Elephas maximus indicus: one gene and its partner. The protein of the gene in region 2 binds, or shares a complex with, the protein of the main gene of each other region. Links are inferred from orthologs where the notes say so. Each region holds a gene or a part of one and is shown on either strand. Other genes may lie near its edges. The genes, in order: AMBRA1 and CCND1.

Evidence for each region.
Region 1: the proteins of CCND1 (region 2) and AMBRA1 are in contact, whole or in part, in a cryo-EM structure (PDB 9IVD), measured with the Homo sapiens proteins. The link is inferred for Elephas maximus indicus from reciprocal best matches to the Homo sapiens genes CCND1 and AMBRA1. Residues at the interface, in NP_444284.1 of Homo sapiens: Thr286, Pro287, Thr288, Asp289, Val290, Arg291, Val293, Asp294, Ile295; in NP_001354397.1 of Homo sapiens: Arg54, Ser55, Phe57, Val73, His75, Arg96, Thr97, Trp99, Leu116, Ala139, Arg184, Ile945, Asn1012, Asn1029.

The regions. Positions count from the first base shown.
Region 1 is NC_064825.1:102,060,981-102,068,267, forward strand, and holds the start of AMBRA1 (activating molecule in BECN1-regulated autophagy protein 1), read right to left. Parts: upstream 3,115-7,287; 5' UTR 2,900-3,114; intron 1-2,899. UniProt on the Homo sapiens protein: Substrate-recognition component of a DCX (DDB1-CUL4-X-box) E3 ubiquitin-protein ligase complex involved in cell cycle control and autophagy.
Region 2 is NC_064825.1:132,456,697-132,463,769, forward strand, and holds the start of CCND1 (G1/S-specific cyclin-D1), read left to right. Parts: upstream 1-3,960; 5' UTR 3,961-4,201; coding exon 4,202-4,399; intron 4,400-5,968; coding exon 5,969-6,184; intron 6,185-6,787; coding exon 6,788-6,947; intron 6,948-7,073. UniProt on the Homo sapiens protein: Regulatory component of the cyclin D1-CDK4 (DC) complex that phosphorylates and inhibits members of the retinoblastoma (RB) protein family including RB1 and regulates the cell-cycle during G(1)/S transition.

The DNA of each region.
Region 1 (7,287 bases), about 30 Mb from region 2:
ATTTAATTAATTTAGGAGGGAGGAATTTGAAAAGATAAAATACAAATTACCCCCAAACCACAAGACAGGTTGTAACTTTTATACAAACAAATTATGACAAGAAACAGAAAGTTCTCTTTGGGTTTATAAGGAACAACTGGAGAAAGAAACAAGAATGACTATGATTAAAGGAACTTCAGATTTTTTGTTTTTATAAACCAAACCACTGAGCAAAAAAAAAAAAAAATCTGCATCCCATTCCAAAATAACTCTATTGAGGCTGAGGCACATCTTGGAAAAAGAGACCTTGGTGTGCCGACGACAAAACTTTTTCTCCAATTCCTTTAAGAGAAGCAAAGACTTTATCATATTATGGGAGGAGTGAGACAAATAGTCAACATAATCTGTCAACATTCACGAGGATCCTCAAACACCATAAATGTTTTGGTTCAACATTAATAAGCAGCATAATTAATAAGCAGCATAAAGGAATATGGTCAAAAAAATAAGTTTCTTAAGTTTCCTAACACATATTGAAAATATTTTGAAAATCATACAGTATAAAAGTGTAAGTTGTTATTCTGTTAATAAAAATAATAATTTTCAAGTAATACACATAACTTATCTTTTTCAAGTGATATACATAATTCCATTCCAGGCCAAATTCTACAGGATATTCAAAGAAACCAGCACCTTTAAGAATCCCCAAGAACTGTCTTGCTAAAAGAATAATTCAATCACATTCTGAACCTGTACATTTCGGAAAGGAAATCCCACAAGACAGCCCACTCTGACACTGACAGAACAAAACAAGATTTGATCAAGTAAGTTAAAAGTGGAGTGAATTTCTATCCTAAAGCAGAGAAGGGGGCAAGACGCTGATAAACTCTACCCCATAAGCCCTACCACCAAATTTCTTATCTTCCTCAATTCATCTTCAAGTACTTTTTACAGAAACATAAAACGTTGCTAATATTTCTTCCCGACACTCACAGCAATTTCCACTTACTTTATTTAGCACTTAGAAGCCCTGGTGGCGTAGTCGTTAAGTGCTACAGCTGCTAACCAAAGGGTTGGCAGTTTGAATCCGCCAGGTGCTCCTTGGAAACTCTATGGGGCAGTTCTACTCTTTCTATAGAGTCGCTATGAGTCAGAATCGACTCGACGGCACTGGGTTTGGTTGTTTGTTTTTTATTATTATTATTTAGCACTTATAAGATACCACTAAGATACTACACGTAACTCTAAATTCTGTCCAGAACCTACCAAAGATTAATGGACAATATCGCTTCCTTCTCTAAGTTCTCTCCTCTGATATAATTTCTCTTCTACCATAAAGCCTTCTTCTTCAACGAATACACATTCTTAACCTAACTTCCCAATCTAGATTCTCCGTATAGTCTGGTGGCTCTTCATTAATCCTTTTCAGTAAGCACTGAGATCCTGGTGACTAGAAAAGCACTCGCGATCAAAGGCCTTTCATTTAAATCTTGCTGACCCCACAAAAAAATTAGAGGGGAAAAAAAAAATCTTTCCAACGCTCACACGAGAATGCTAAAATTGTGCTGGGTCAGAGACTTGTATATTTTCCATCCAAGCACCAGGGATTTAATCAGTTCTCCCTTAAAAGGCTTCTCCCAATGATTCTACATACTATGAGAACTTATCCGACCTAGCTTGACCTCTACGCTGATTATTTTTTTCAACAAAAAGTTACACAAATTAGGATCATAACACCAAATTCAATGAAAATAAAACGAGTAAGAATAAGTAACTCCCCAAATTTCCCAAGTTTGGAGAGAAACATAACAGAGTTCCCAGAATGTTAACCTTCAATTTAAATACCTCAATATTTGCATGATTCCTGCACACAGCCTTTTACCTCTAGTATATGCACTGACCACTAATCAAAAACACGAAAAAGTATTCCAAAAGGGACTCCTTAGGTTTCCTTTGGATACTTCCCGGAAGGCAAACCCTCACAAGGCCAACCATCTGATTTCAAAATCTTGACCATCCTGTCAGGACACCATAGTTGAAAGATTTCCACTAAAAACCGGCTGAGGGGAAGGAGGAGAAAAAAAGCATCAACTAGAAAGCAAACTGGACAGCAAACAAAATTATCAACCAAGAAACAAAAAGAAACTGTCATTGCTATTCTCGCTAAAATAACACAGACTTTGAAAAGCAAAACCAGCCAAAAGATCACATGGTCTCTTTACTTCTGAAGTCACCGGTAACAGAATTTATATTCCTAAGAAGAAGGAACCACAGACAATCAAATGACAAATCACTATGTGCATAAAGGAGTACCTGGTAAAACGAAAAAAGGTGAGCTGGTAAATGACAAAAAAGTGACTTACAGTGCCTTCAACATCTGCAGGGGATATGGGGAAAACTCACGTCCCAGACCTCAGCCTCAGTTTCCCTACCCAAAAAAGAGGCGAGAAAATGACACTTCGCTCAGAGGAGCCAGAGGGCCTTGTTCCACACGCCTCCACCTACTCAAGGGTCCCTCCAAAGGCCGGACTCAGAGGGGGTCCCCAGTGCAATTGAGTCATGACACCCGGAGCCTTAGGAAGCGGGAAAGGAAAAAGGGAGGAGGGTCAAAGTGCGCAAATCTTTAACCATTCTGGAAGGCGATTTTCCCCCGACACAGGGGGCGCCGACACCCACCCTAGACCCAACATCCCCTCCCTACCGAACCACACTGGGCTGCCCCAGCATCTCTCCCTCCTTCCGGCTTCTCCTTCAGTTCCCTGCCGCCCCTCCGGCCGCGCCCCCGAACGCAGCCCGACAGCCCCTCCTCTGGCGGAGTCTCGGCCGCGGGTCCGCCCGCCCACCCGCCGGCGCCAAGGTCTTCTCAACCCCGTGGCTGAAGGATGCCGGGCCGGGCCTCCCAGGCTCCTCCCGGGCCTACCTGCAAGGCGAGTGGGGGCTCGGTTTGCAGCCCGGCGAGCAGGCTGAGCCACAAAGAGGAGGAAGGAATAGGCAGGAAGGACGCAAGAGGTCCGCTCTACCGACCGGCGGAAGAAAGCGGCCCGAGTGTGGAGCCTCGCGGGTAACTCAGCCCTCGACCGGGCGCCGCCACCGCTCAGGAGACATCAAGCAAGAAGACGGCGCAAAAGATCACCGAACACACGAACGCCCAGACATTAATGGAGGAGCGCCTGAGCTATCGTTCAAGGCACCAGAGCCGAGCGCCGGAAAACAGCTCCGTGGCTTCAAGGTCCGGCTCCCGTCCAAGGCATAAATAAACAAGTCCAGATTCTAAACCTGTGCTTCTGCCATTTTCTGTGTCGGTTGCCGGCTGTTTAAGTTGTGTAGACACCTGGAGTTTTTCTTGAGAGTGTTGAAAATCAAATCATGGTGCAGTAACACTTGTAGTCTAATTGTAGTTTAGCTATACAGTTCGACTACCTTATGAACTTAGAAAAATATTTATCCCAATTGAGCAAATCACCTCTTTTGATCGTTAGTTTTCTCACAAAACAGTGAGATGAATGATCCCTGAAATCTTCTCCAGCTCTAACATTATGTGATTACATGGCTTTCCAGTAATACATTCACCAAAAATATGTATGTATTTATGGCGAGAGGAAGAGAATGCGAATCCAGATAGAAACAAAGTAAATACAAAAGCCCTTAAAGTCCCACAAACGTAGCAAGAAGCTGAGAAAACCCACGGGTGTGTCATCTGACCTTAAATCAGGGGAAAGCCAATCCATGGACCGCATTTTATTTTCTTCGACATGTCTAGATACTGATTTACCTGGCACCTGGTGGCGTAGTAGTTAAGAGCTCGACTGCTAAGGAGTTCGAATCCACCAGCCGCTCCTGGGAAACTCTATGGGGCAGTTCTACTCCGTCCTATAGGGTCCCTATGAGTTGGAATCCGCTCGAGGGCAAAGGGTTGGAATCCATAGGTTGGGGTTTTTTTTAGCACAGGGACCATAAAACCACAGGTGTGGTTCTTACATAATGATCAAAAGTCTCTGGGATCAGATGATAAAGTATGTTGACATTTTCATGCACAACAATGGCCTGTTTCTGAAGTCTCTTAGTACCCAAATATGCTCAGCACAAGTAGGGATTTATATGTGCATCCTGAGTACAACTCAGTAAAACACATGGATCACTACAAATATGGATTACCAAGTGTGAACAGTAATACAGAGTACCCTACCTCCTCCTAAGGAGTGAGGAGACTTGGAAGGGCATAAAAAGAAAATAAGATAGTCCCAGTCCTTGAATAATTTATAATTTAATTAAAGTGAAAGAACACATCCTTACAGCATTAATTTTATTTACAATTTATTGTTACTTTCTGTACTTTCTTCTTTTAGTCTGTGAAAATACTTAGGGACAACCCATAAAAATAACACATAGACATGAGACCAGCAACCATAACATGCCATACATAAGGACAAGACACTGGGCTTTGGTTGTCTACCACTGTTTTAGAGGACTTTTAAAATGAGTAAACAGTATAGTAGCATTAATGAAAGTCTTAAAAAACAACAACTTAAAAGTCTGCCTCCAAAATGTATAATTTTAATTTGTTCATGTTCCCATGAAGTGCTTGGAAATATCCATATATAATTTTTAGAAGTTTAATTCAAGGAGAGATACAATTACGTTATAATTTTTCATTATATCATCTCCCCTATTAAAACTTATTAGTTTTTTCTTTAACTGTTGCACAATAGTCCACTGAGGGGATACACTGATCATGCTCCCCATTGCTGAACATTTGTGTTATTTCCTTTTTCTGTGTAATAGGTATTGCTGCACTTAGAAAGAGGCAGCTATAACCCTATTATTTATTATTAGTCTTTTTTGCACATAAACAAATAATAAGAGTAATCAAGGAAGGCAGGGAATTCCTGGGTGTCACAAAGAGTTAAGCACTTGATTACTAGCCAAAAAATTGGCAATTCAAACCTATTTAGAGGGGCCTTGGAAAATTGGCCTAGAAATCTACTTTCTACAGGACAGAGCCTTGAAAACCCTGTGGAGCAGTTCTGCACTGCACACATGGGTGCCCTGAGCTGGAATCCATTTGACAGCAATTAACAACAAGGGAGGTAGAGGTTTATTTCTTTGTCGTATAAAAGAAATTCAGAGATGCACACCCCAGGGTAAGTATGGTGTCTCAGTGTCAGATACGAGGCTCCTTCTTATCTTATTGCTTTGCTATTAGTGGCTAAAAGTGGCTTTCACCTCAGATCCCAGATGTCTACTCAAGCTCCAGCCATCATGACCACATTCCAAAAAGCAGGAAGCTCAGAAGGAAAAGCACGTCTCCTAGCCATAACCACACATCTTGAAAGTAACACAGGCACTTCCACTTATATCTACTCACCAGGATTTAGTTACATAGCCATACCTAGATGAAAGGCAAGCTGGGAAGTAGTCTTTATCCCAGGCAGCCATTTACCCACTGAAGGTGGAAGGCACATGGATACTAAGTGACAGCTAAACAAGCAGTCTCTGCCACATTTCTGGAGCCAAATGAGGAGCTGGCAAAGAGACCTTTCTTTGCAGTCTTCCCAGAATTCCTAGAATACATGCTATAGATAAGCTTCCTTTTTTAGAAAGGTTTGTGGGGCATAATGTCTAGAGCTACACCCCTGATTCAAATTTGACCTAAATTACTACATTATTTTGGAACTTTTATTGCAGTAATAAAAGCTAAGAAACTGTAATTTCAAGTTTATGATAAGTTTTTGCTTTTTAAAAGCCAGAGACTTTTATTTTGGGAAAATCACCTGAAAGTTATGCAAATATAAATCTAAAATGACCATCGGAAAATGGAGATATTTGAGAAACTGAGACAGCTATGGAGCTATACTGTTCTGTGAGATCATGGAAAATACGGCTTATTCTGCAGGCAGAATCGCATTCCTAGAGATACATTTTCTTTAGAGAACTGTTTCTTTTGAAGTGTGGATTTAAGCTTCCATGTGACAACAACCGACTGTTTTGTTCTTATGGAGATGTCTGTGTGGATGGAAATATTGTCCATAAGAGAAAAGGAGTTGAAACCCCCAAACCTACAGGATACTCCTCACACTGGAGGAAGAACTTTAAAAAAGAAACCAAGTGGGTAGAGGTAAAGATCATCCTGGGTTGTACCACTGATGCCCTAAATATTGGTGTTAATACTCAATAAGTCATTATTGTATTGATTGTTCATTGTATAGCATTCTCCAGGTGGAGTCATAACTTTAAAGGTAGCATAGTGCATTCTCTGAAGTAGGGTAACCAAATGTCCTGTTTGCCCAAGACTGAAGTGTTTCCCAGGACATGGGTCTTTCAATGCTAAAACTGTGACACCCTCCTCTGCCTCCCCACTGCCCCCCAAAAAACAAACAAAAAACACTACCGTGGAGTTAATTCTGACTCAGAGCAACTGTGACAGTTCTGGGAAAACTGGGATAATTGGTCAACCTAAGAATGGACCTTGCCATTGTCCATCACATGGAAAGAATTTGGAAAGACTAAACCAGCAAAGGAACCCTGGTAGGGCTGTAGTTAAGAGTTCAGCTGCTAACAAAAGGTCAACAGTTCCAATCCACCAGATGCCCCTTAGAAACCCTACAGGGCAGTTTTATCTGTCCTATAGGTTTGCTGTGCGTCAGAATCGACTCAAGGGCAACTGTTTTTTTTTTTAAACAAGGAAGAGGATTGGGCATGTTAGCCTAGAGGAATTGCCTGGGGGAGAGAGGGAGGGAAAGGGAGGAGACTCTGCTCCCAACCTTGACTCTGGGATTTGGAAACTTGCTCTACTGCATTCTGGGTGGTAGCAATAAGGCTGAACCTAGGGTGAAATAACTCTGTAGCTGTTATGGTTAGGTGCCCATCGAGTTGGTTGCTACTCACAGTGACTCTGTGTACAACAGAATGAAACACTGCCTGATCGTGCATCACCCTCACAATTTTTACTGTGTGGGCCCATTGTTGCAGCCACTCTGTCAATCCATCTTTTCGAGGGTCTGCCTGTTTTGTTGGCCTTCTACTTTACCAAGCATGATGTCCTTCTCCAGGGATTGGTCCCTCCTGATAACGTGTCCAAAGCACGTTAGATGAAGTCTTGCCATCCTCGCTTCTAAGGAACATTCTGTCTGTGCCTCTTCCAAGACAGATTTGTTGCTCTTCTGGCAGTCCATGGTATCATGTGTCATCTTATTAGGAAGTTCAGGAAGAGGGTTAGGCCTTGGCTTTAAGAGCAGCCAAAATGATGAGCCAATTTTTGATTTTGCTATTACAATTATATTCTGGTCCTTTGTAGCCTGGTCTCATCGC
Region 2 (7,073 bases):
GGGTCCCCGGGGAAGGGGTACCGGAAGCTAGGTTTGAGCCCCATTCCCCCAAGCCTGCGAAAAAGGCTCCGTCCTCCTCCTCTTCGCCCCCCCTCCCCGGCAAGTATCGGGAGTTCTAGAACTCGGAGTCTCCCCACCGGAGACCCCGGCCGTCCCACCCACCCCCAGGGCCAAGGCGAAGCGTAGAAACGCTTTCTGGAGGGATCCACAGGGGGAAGCCGGCTAGAAAGGCGGGGGGTACGTCCCCGCGGAAGATCCTCGAGAAAGGGCGGGGGAGGGCAGGTGACAGGCCCCGGGGCGCGGGAGGGACGTCCTGCTCCCGCGGGGCCAGGGCGCGTGGGAGCCGACGACGGTCTCAGCGTGGTCCCGCCGCCTGCAAAGCCGCAGCCCCAGGCTCCGTGGCCCCGCTGGTCCTGGAGCGGCCCCGCGAGCCCTCGCACCGGCAGAAGCCCTCTCAGACATCCAGGGGCACGTGGCCTCTGAAGTCATAGCCCCCATCCCCGCCCGAGTTCTCCGCCTTGGCTGGAGAGGCTTTCTTCTACACCTGGGCGCCCACTCCCCACTGGGAGCTTGAGCCGGCAGGCCGGAAAATACTGAACTTTGGGGTTCATTTTGCTCAGGGCACCAGGCAACGCGTTTTGAGTGGGCGAGGATCAAGGGGATAGAATCTTCTTTCAACTTCAAGAGTTGCACCTCCTCCCTCGCAATCCCAAAAGCGTCTTTGGGTCCAGGGCCCCACTACTGTTGGGGTTTTTAAGTCCTGCGCCCACTTCGCCCGCGTCCGTAGGGGCAGGCAGTGTCCCAGCCCCGCCGCCGGACGTCTAGGGGCGGGGGGAGCCTGTGTGTGGCTTAAATTAAGGGATCGCTGATGGGGGCGGCGTGGGGTGCGGCCGCCCCCGTCCCAAGCTGCTGGCTACCCCAAGTGGGCGCCGAGGCTCGGGTGCGCTGGGCGGGCAGCTTTGGGGCACGCGCAGTCGGCGCCGCGGAGCCCTTGCGGAGCTGCTGAGCACGTGGCTCTCGGTGCGCGCCCCAAAAGCTAGCAGCGTGGGGGCAGGGGAGCCCAAGCGCCCCCGGAACCCCGCGGCCCGCCTTCGGAAGCGCTTTCCAGTGCGACTTAAGGGCTTAACAATGGAAAACTCGCGGTGCTGGAGCCAAGTCCTTTCAAGTCGCCGCCAGGTATGCGGCTGCAGGTGACCCCACCTGGGTGCGCCCGGTCGCCGTCCTCCCGTGGGGAGGAGGGGAGTGCGGGTGCCGTAGGGCGACGCCAGCGGAAGGTCGCCCCTCTGGCCGCAGCCCCCTCGGGAGAGCCCCCTGCTCAGGCAGCGCGCAGCCGCGGTGGGACCTGGGTCGGCTCCGCGGCGCGCGGGTTCCTGAATGAACGCGTTCCCTTCCCCCTTTGAATGAAGGTTCCCACAGCCAGGGACGGTGGCAAACGCGCGCCGCAGCGGAATGCGCCCTCTCGGGCCAGCGATCCGCCCGGCCGCTGCCACCGCCCAGGGGACCGAGGCGAGGGAGGTGGGGATGGGGGTTCCAGTAACTTAGGGTTTCCTTTCACACGAACGCGGTTTCCCTCCGAATTGGGCCACCCGACCTTTGTCTCCAAGTGGTCCCACGCAATCCACGCGGAGCGCTTTAAACGAGCTCGGAATGCGCAGTGTCGGCGGCGTGGTGGGTTTTACAAACAGTGCCAAATGAAAGCGGCAACGGAAAAGTGCTGAAAAGTTGCTTTACTCTGCAAAATAAAAAAAAATCAAAATGCGTCTTCTGCTCTGTTAGCAGCAATTAACCTCATGGGGCCGGGCGGTGGGTTTCCTCGGGAGCTAGGGGGCCGCCAGGCTGGGCTCTCCCGGCGGGGGCTGGGCGCCGGGCGCTCCCCGCGGGGCCCCAAATTCCTGCGCCTCCCCCACCGGTTCCTGGACGGCTCTACACGCCCGCCGGCCGGGCTTGCACTTTTGCGCCCGTCCCTGAGCCGGGAAATCAACAAAGTTCCTCCTCGAGATCTGCCCGGCCCGCCTAGTAACAGCGCCGCGCCCCCATTGGCTCATGCTAATTCCAGTTTCCTCTCTTTCTCGCCGTGGGGGGGCAGCTCCCTCCTGATCCCGGAGCCCGAGTGGCCGGGGTGGGCGATCCTCCTTATGCCCTGCTGCCCCTCGCCAACGTCGGCGACTCGCGCCTCTGGCCGGGCCGGGGCGCACACCGGGGCGCGAGCCCCTGGACCCTCGAGGCCCTGCCGCCGGTGAGGGCGCGCAGCCCCATAAATCATCGGGCGGCCGCCCGGTCGGGAATTTATGAATGAAAAGCTGCCTGGCCGCCCTCGTGCGCCGGCGGAGGCTGCTGAGGCTACGCCGTGCCCGGGGTCGGCCGGGGCGTGGGTACCCGGGGAGGGCGCATGGCGGTGGGCGCGTCCTGCCCGGTCACCCATCGCCTCGGGGGCTGTGACCCTCCCAGACCCGGAATATTAGCCGCCCTCATTCCGGCGGGGGATGGGGCGCGGGAGGAATCCCCCCTGTCCCCTGGCGGGGGGCGTCTTCATTCGCAGCGTGCGCCCTTTCCACCCGGAGGGCTATCTAAAAATCCGTTTTCTTTTGCGCCTTTACTGTTAGGGGAGTCGGTGGTTTTTAGGACATTAAACTAGGTTCAAAGAGACGTAAATGAACAGTTTTCTAAAGTGGGGACAGGTAGTGTAAAAACAAACAAAAAAAAGTTAAGAATGGGTAAAATAGCCTTTTATTTAAAAAAAAAAAGAAAAAACACACCAAAAAGCCAATCTCCATTTAATAAAAATACCGTATATATTTTTGTGTGTCTTTCTTAAATTTAAGTTAATATTAGGGACCCGATCCTATTACCACGATCACATATAGATTTTGTTTAAAATCATCTGTTCAAGCACCCATTTCTCTCACTTTCAATTGTTCTAATTCTTGCCAGCCCCCTGGCGCTCACAAGCGCAGCCCCAGGGCAAGTTCGAAAGGTGAAGAGACGTTCACAACCCCGGCAAAACCGTGTAGGAAGCTTCCGGTGGTCTCGTCCCAGGCAGAGAGGAGGCTAATATTTCCAGCAATTTAATTTCTTTTTTAATTAAAAAGTGAGGCGGGACAGACCTCTGTTTCGCAGCCTTCCATTCCAAGGTGTTTTTCCGCTGTTGAAATGCCGGGACTGGGGGAGGGGACACTTGGGGACCCCTGCAAGGATGTACTTGCCAAGGTAGGAGGACAGTCCGCGGATCCCTCAGGCGAGCAGGACAGGATGATGGAAATGCTGGCCACCATCTTGGGCTGCTTCTGGAATTTTCGGGGATTTATTTTATTTTATTTTTTGAGCGAGCCTGTGCTGGGCTGAAGCCCCTTTTAACGTTTAGGGTTACCCCCTCGGGCATTTCCAATGACCCCCCCGTGGGCCGGAATGAAGGTGCCACCAGGGTCCTATGCTCTGCCCCGCGTCCCCGCCTGTTAAACAGTTCCTGAAATTTACACGTGTTAATGAAAATGAAAGAAAAGGCAGAAGCTGTGATTCCTTCCTTGGCCGTCCCTCCGCCCGTGGGTGACCTCGTGGCGTTCTCGGAAATGTGCCCATTCTCCCGGCTCGGATATAGGGTGTCGCCGAGCCCCAGCGTCCCCCCTCCATGCGGTCTCCCCAGGCTCCGTGTGGCCTGCCCGCCCTCTTCGTTGTCCCCTTCTGCAACGCCCCCTCCCCAAATCCCCGGGGACCACTTGGAGGGAACCGGGCCCCCCTGCACCCCTCTTCCCCCGCGGGGAGAAAGGCCGCGGCGGGGCGATTTGCATTTCTATGAAAACCCGGCTTCGGGGGGAACTCCGCCGCGGGGCAGGAGCGGCGCCTCTGGGATGCCTTTTGGGCTCTGCCCCTCGCTGCTCCCCGGCTCTCGGCCCGCGCCCCCTCCCCCTGCGCCCGCCCCGCCCCCCCGCTCCCATTCTCTGCCCGGCTTTGATCTCTGCTTAACAACAGTAACGTCACAAGGACTACAGGGGAGTTTTGTTGGAAGTTGCAAAGTCCTGGAGCCTCCAGAGGGCTGTCGGCGCAGTAGCAGCGAGCAGCAGCGGCCGCGCGCTCCTGCGAGGGGCAGACGAGGGCGAGAGAGCGCGGGGCAGCGGGAGGAGCGAGGCCGAGCTCGCGGACCGAGCGGGAGCCCGAGCCTGAGCCCAGCCGACCGCCTTCTCCGCCGCCCAGCCCAGCCGCCGGCATGGAGCACCAGCTCCTGTGCTGCGAGGTGGAGACCATCCGCCGCGCGTACCCCGATGCCAACCTTCTCAACGACCGGGTGCTGCAGGCCATGCTCAAGGCCGAAGAGACCTGCGCGCCCTCGGTGTCCTACTTCAAGTGCGTGCAGAAGGAGATACTGCCGTCCATGCGCAAGATCGTGGCCACCTGGATGCTGGAGGTGCGTGGCGCCGGGCCGCCCTTTGGGGACTTTCTGCAACTTGTTGCCTAAGCCCAGATTGCTTTGCCTCTCATCTCTCCCTTCTTTCACCCTCACCCCAACTTTCCAGTTCGCCGAGGGTTGCTAGGAATCTGTCTTTTCCAAAGAAATAGATATTGTGGGTATTTTTTTTTTTTTTTAACCAGGAAAAAATGGGGATGGGGGTGGGGGCGTTCGAAACTCCCTTTCCTACGGGGTGGAGGGCTCGAGGAGGGGTGCCTTCGGAGAAGCGAGTGGCGGGGGCACCCGAATAAGCCGAAAGGTGCGGGTCGGCAGGCTGGGGGCGCCTTTGGTGGCCCCCTCCCGGCCGCCACCGCCGCGCAGCCCCCGCCTGCGTCCGCGCCTATCTGCGCCTCCTCTCCCGGCCGCTGCGGCCCGGGGCGCCAGCCCCGGGGGGAGGGGGTATCGATTTGATTTTTAAATTAATATCCATGGACACGTATGCAAGGGCCACTCGTGCCAGTATTATGCGCCATCTTTGTTCTTTTATTGCAAAGCAAAAGTGTTTATTAATAATTGGGGGGAGGGTGGGGGCGGGGAGCGGCCGGCGAGGCGCTGGGGCCGCGGCGAGGGGCCGCCCGGCTGCCGGGAGCCAGGCGGGAGGGGTGCGGGAACAGGGTGTGGGCATTTCTGGGGGGACCCCGCTTGGGAAGTGTGGCCCCTTTGTTCAAGCAGCGACCCCTGGGGCTCCCTGCACCGCCAGCTGGCCCGGAGAGCACGCCGGGCTGCAAGGTCGCGTGGCCCCCAAGACACCAGGAATTGGCCCCCGTCTGCGAGGGGCTTGGCTTGGGGGGGCCTGCCCAGAGTCATCCGGGTGTCCGGGGCACATTTTCAGGCCTGCGGTGGGCGTCTGGGGGGACCGCGAGTATTTTAAAATAATTTTTGAAAGTGCGGCGTGGTGCCCTTGCGAGAGGGAAACGGCGCCCGCGCCCAGGGGGAAGGGGTGCCCCCGAGTTTCAGTCCCTGGGGCGCTCCCTGGAGCCTGTAGTGAGCTCCAGAGCCCCGGCCTAGGTAAAGGGCCGTCCGGGGATCGTTTTCAGGGATTTTTTGTGCGCCCACTTATTTTTTTTATATTTTTAAATATTTTTTGAAAAGATGACGTCTGGGGAAATGCGGCGCTGCGGCCTGGGACGCCACCTTTGTGTCTCGCAGGCGGGGCGAGCGCGGCGCCCAACCCCGTGGTCCAGCCCCGCGGCCCCGCGGCCCATTTGGTGCGGGCTCCCAGCCAGAAGGACCCCCAGAGCCCCCAGGTGGGCTGGGGTCTCCCGGCCGCACCGCTGCCCGCGGTGCCCACTCCCGCCCCCACCGTGCCAGCCGCGCGGGACTTTCCCTTTCAGTTTCGGAGGTGGATGGGTGCTGGGGGCGCGCGGGGGTGGGGACGCGTCATCGGAGGCTCAAGCCACCCCCTGCCCGGTGCCTCCCCGCGCTCCGGCGCCGCAGCCCCGGCGCGCGCGGGGTGGGCGTGCGGAGACGTCGGGCGGGGGTCCCGCGCCCCCAGCGGCGGTGGTCACGGCCCCCCTGCCCCTGCAGGTCTGCGAGGAGCAGAAGTGCGAGGAGGAGGTCTTCCCGCTGGCCATGAACTATCTGGACCGCTTCCTGTCCCTGGAGCCGGTGAAGAAGAGCCGCCTGCAGCTGCTGGGGGCCACCTGCATGTTCGTGGCCTCCAAGATGAAGGAGACCATCCCCCTGACGGCCGAGAAGCTGTGCATCTACACAGACAACTCCATCCGACCCGACGAGCTGCTGGTAACCGGGGGACCCCCACGGCCCCCAGGCACCCCGTTTGTTACAGGATCCCAGGGATGGGGGCGCGGGTCGCGGGGAGGCCCAGCCAGACGCTGACAGATCCTCGGGCCTGAGGGAGGGCGGCCACACCGCTCCGGGGCAGGGGGGAGGCCAGGAACAGCAGGCGGCAGTTATCCGGGCCGCCCCCCCATCTCGGCGCCCGCCGCCCCACATCCCACTTTCGACCACGTTTGCACCCCGGAGCGAGGGCGAAAAGTGGACGGCGCGCGCCCTCTAGCGGTGGCGGCGCGCTCAGGGCGCCCGCGCTAATTAATAAGGCCTTTGGTTGCAGATGGTGGGAGGTCTTTTTGTCTCCACTTGTGAACAGTCGGCTTAATGACAATGAGCACGGGGGCCTTTTCACGCGGCACCTTCTCTGTTTTGATCCGGAATTGCGGGTCGTCTGTCCCCCTCGCCCTACTTCCTGAACCCCTCAACAGGCCACATCCCTCCTTCCCACCCTCTGCCCTGCTCCTGGCCGGCATCCCAGGCCCCCCAGGGCTGACCCTGCACCTCTTTCTCTCTCTCTCTTTCTCTGTCTCTCTGCCCGCTTCATCTCCCCAGCACATGGAGCTGCTTCTGGTGAACAAGCTCAAGTGGAACCTGGCTGCCATGACCCCCCACGATTTCATCGAACACTTCCTGTCCAAGATGCCCGTGGCCCAGGAGAACAAGCAGATTATCCGAAAACACGCCCAGACCTTCGTGGCGCTCTGTGCCACAGGTAGGTAGGGTGGCGGGCCAGCCCCTCCTCCCCAGGCAACTGGGGCCCAGCTTCTTGCTCAGTTTCCCCGCCTCGACAGTGCCCGTATCATACCCCTTCTTGCTCTTCCTCTGCCCTGTTGAGCAG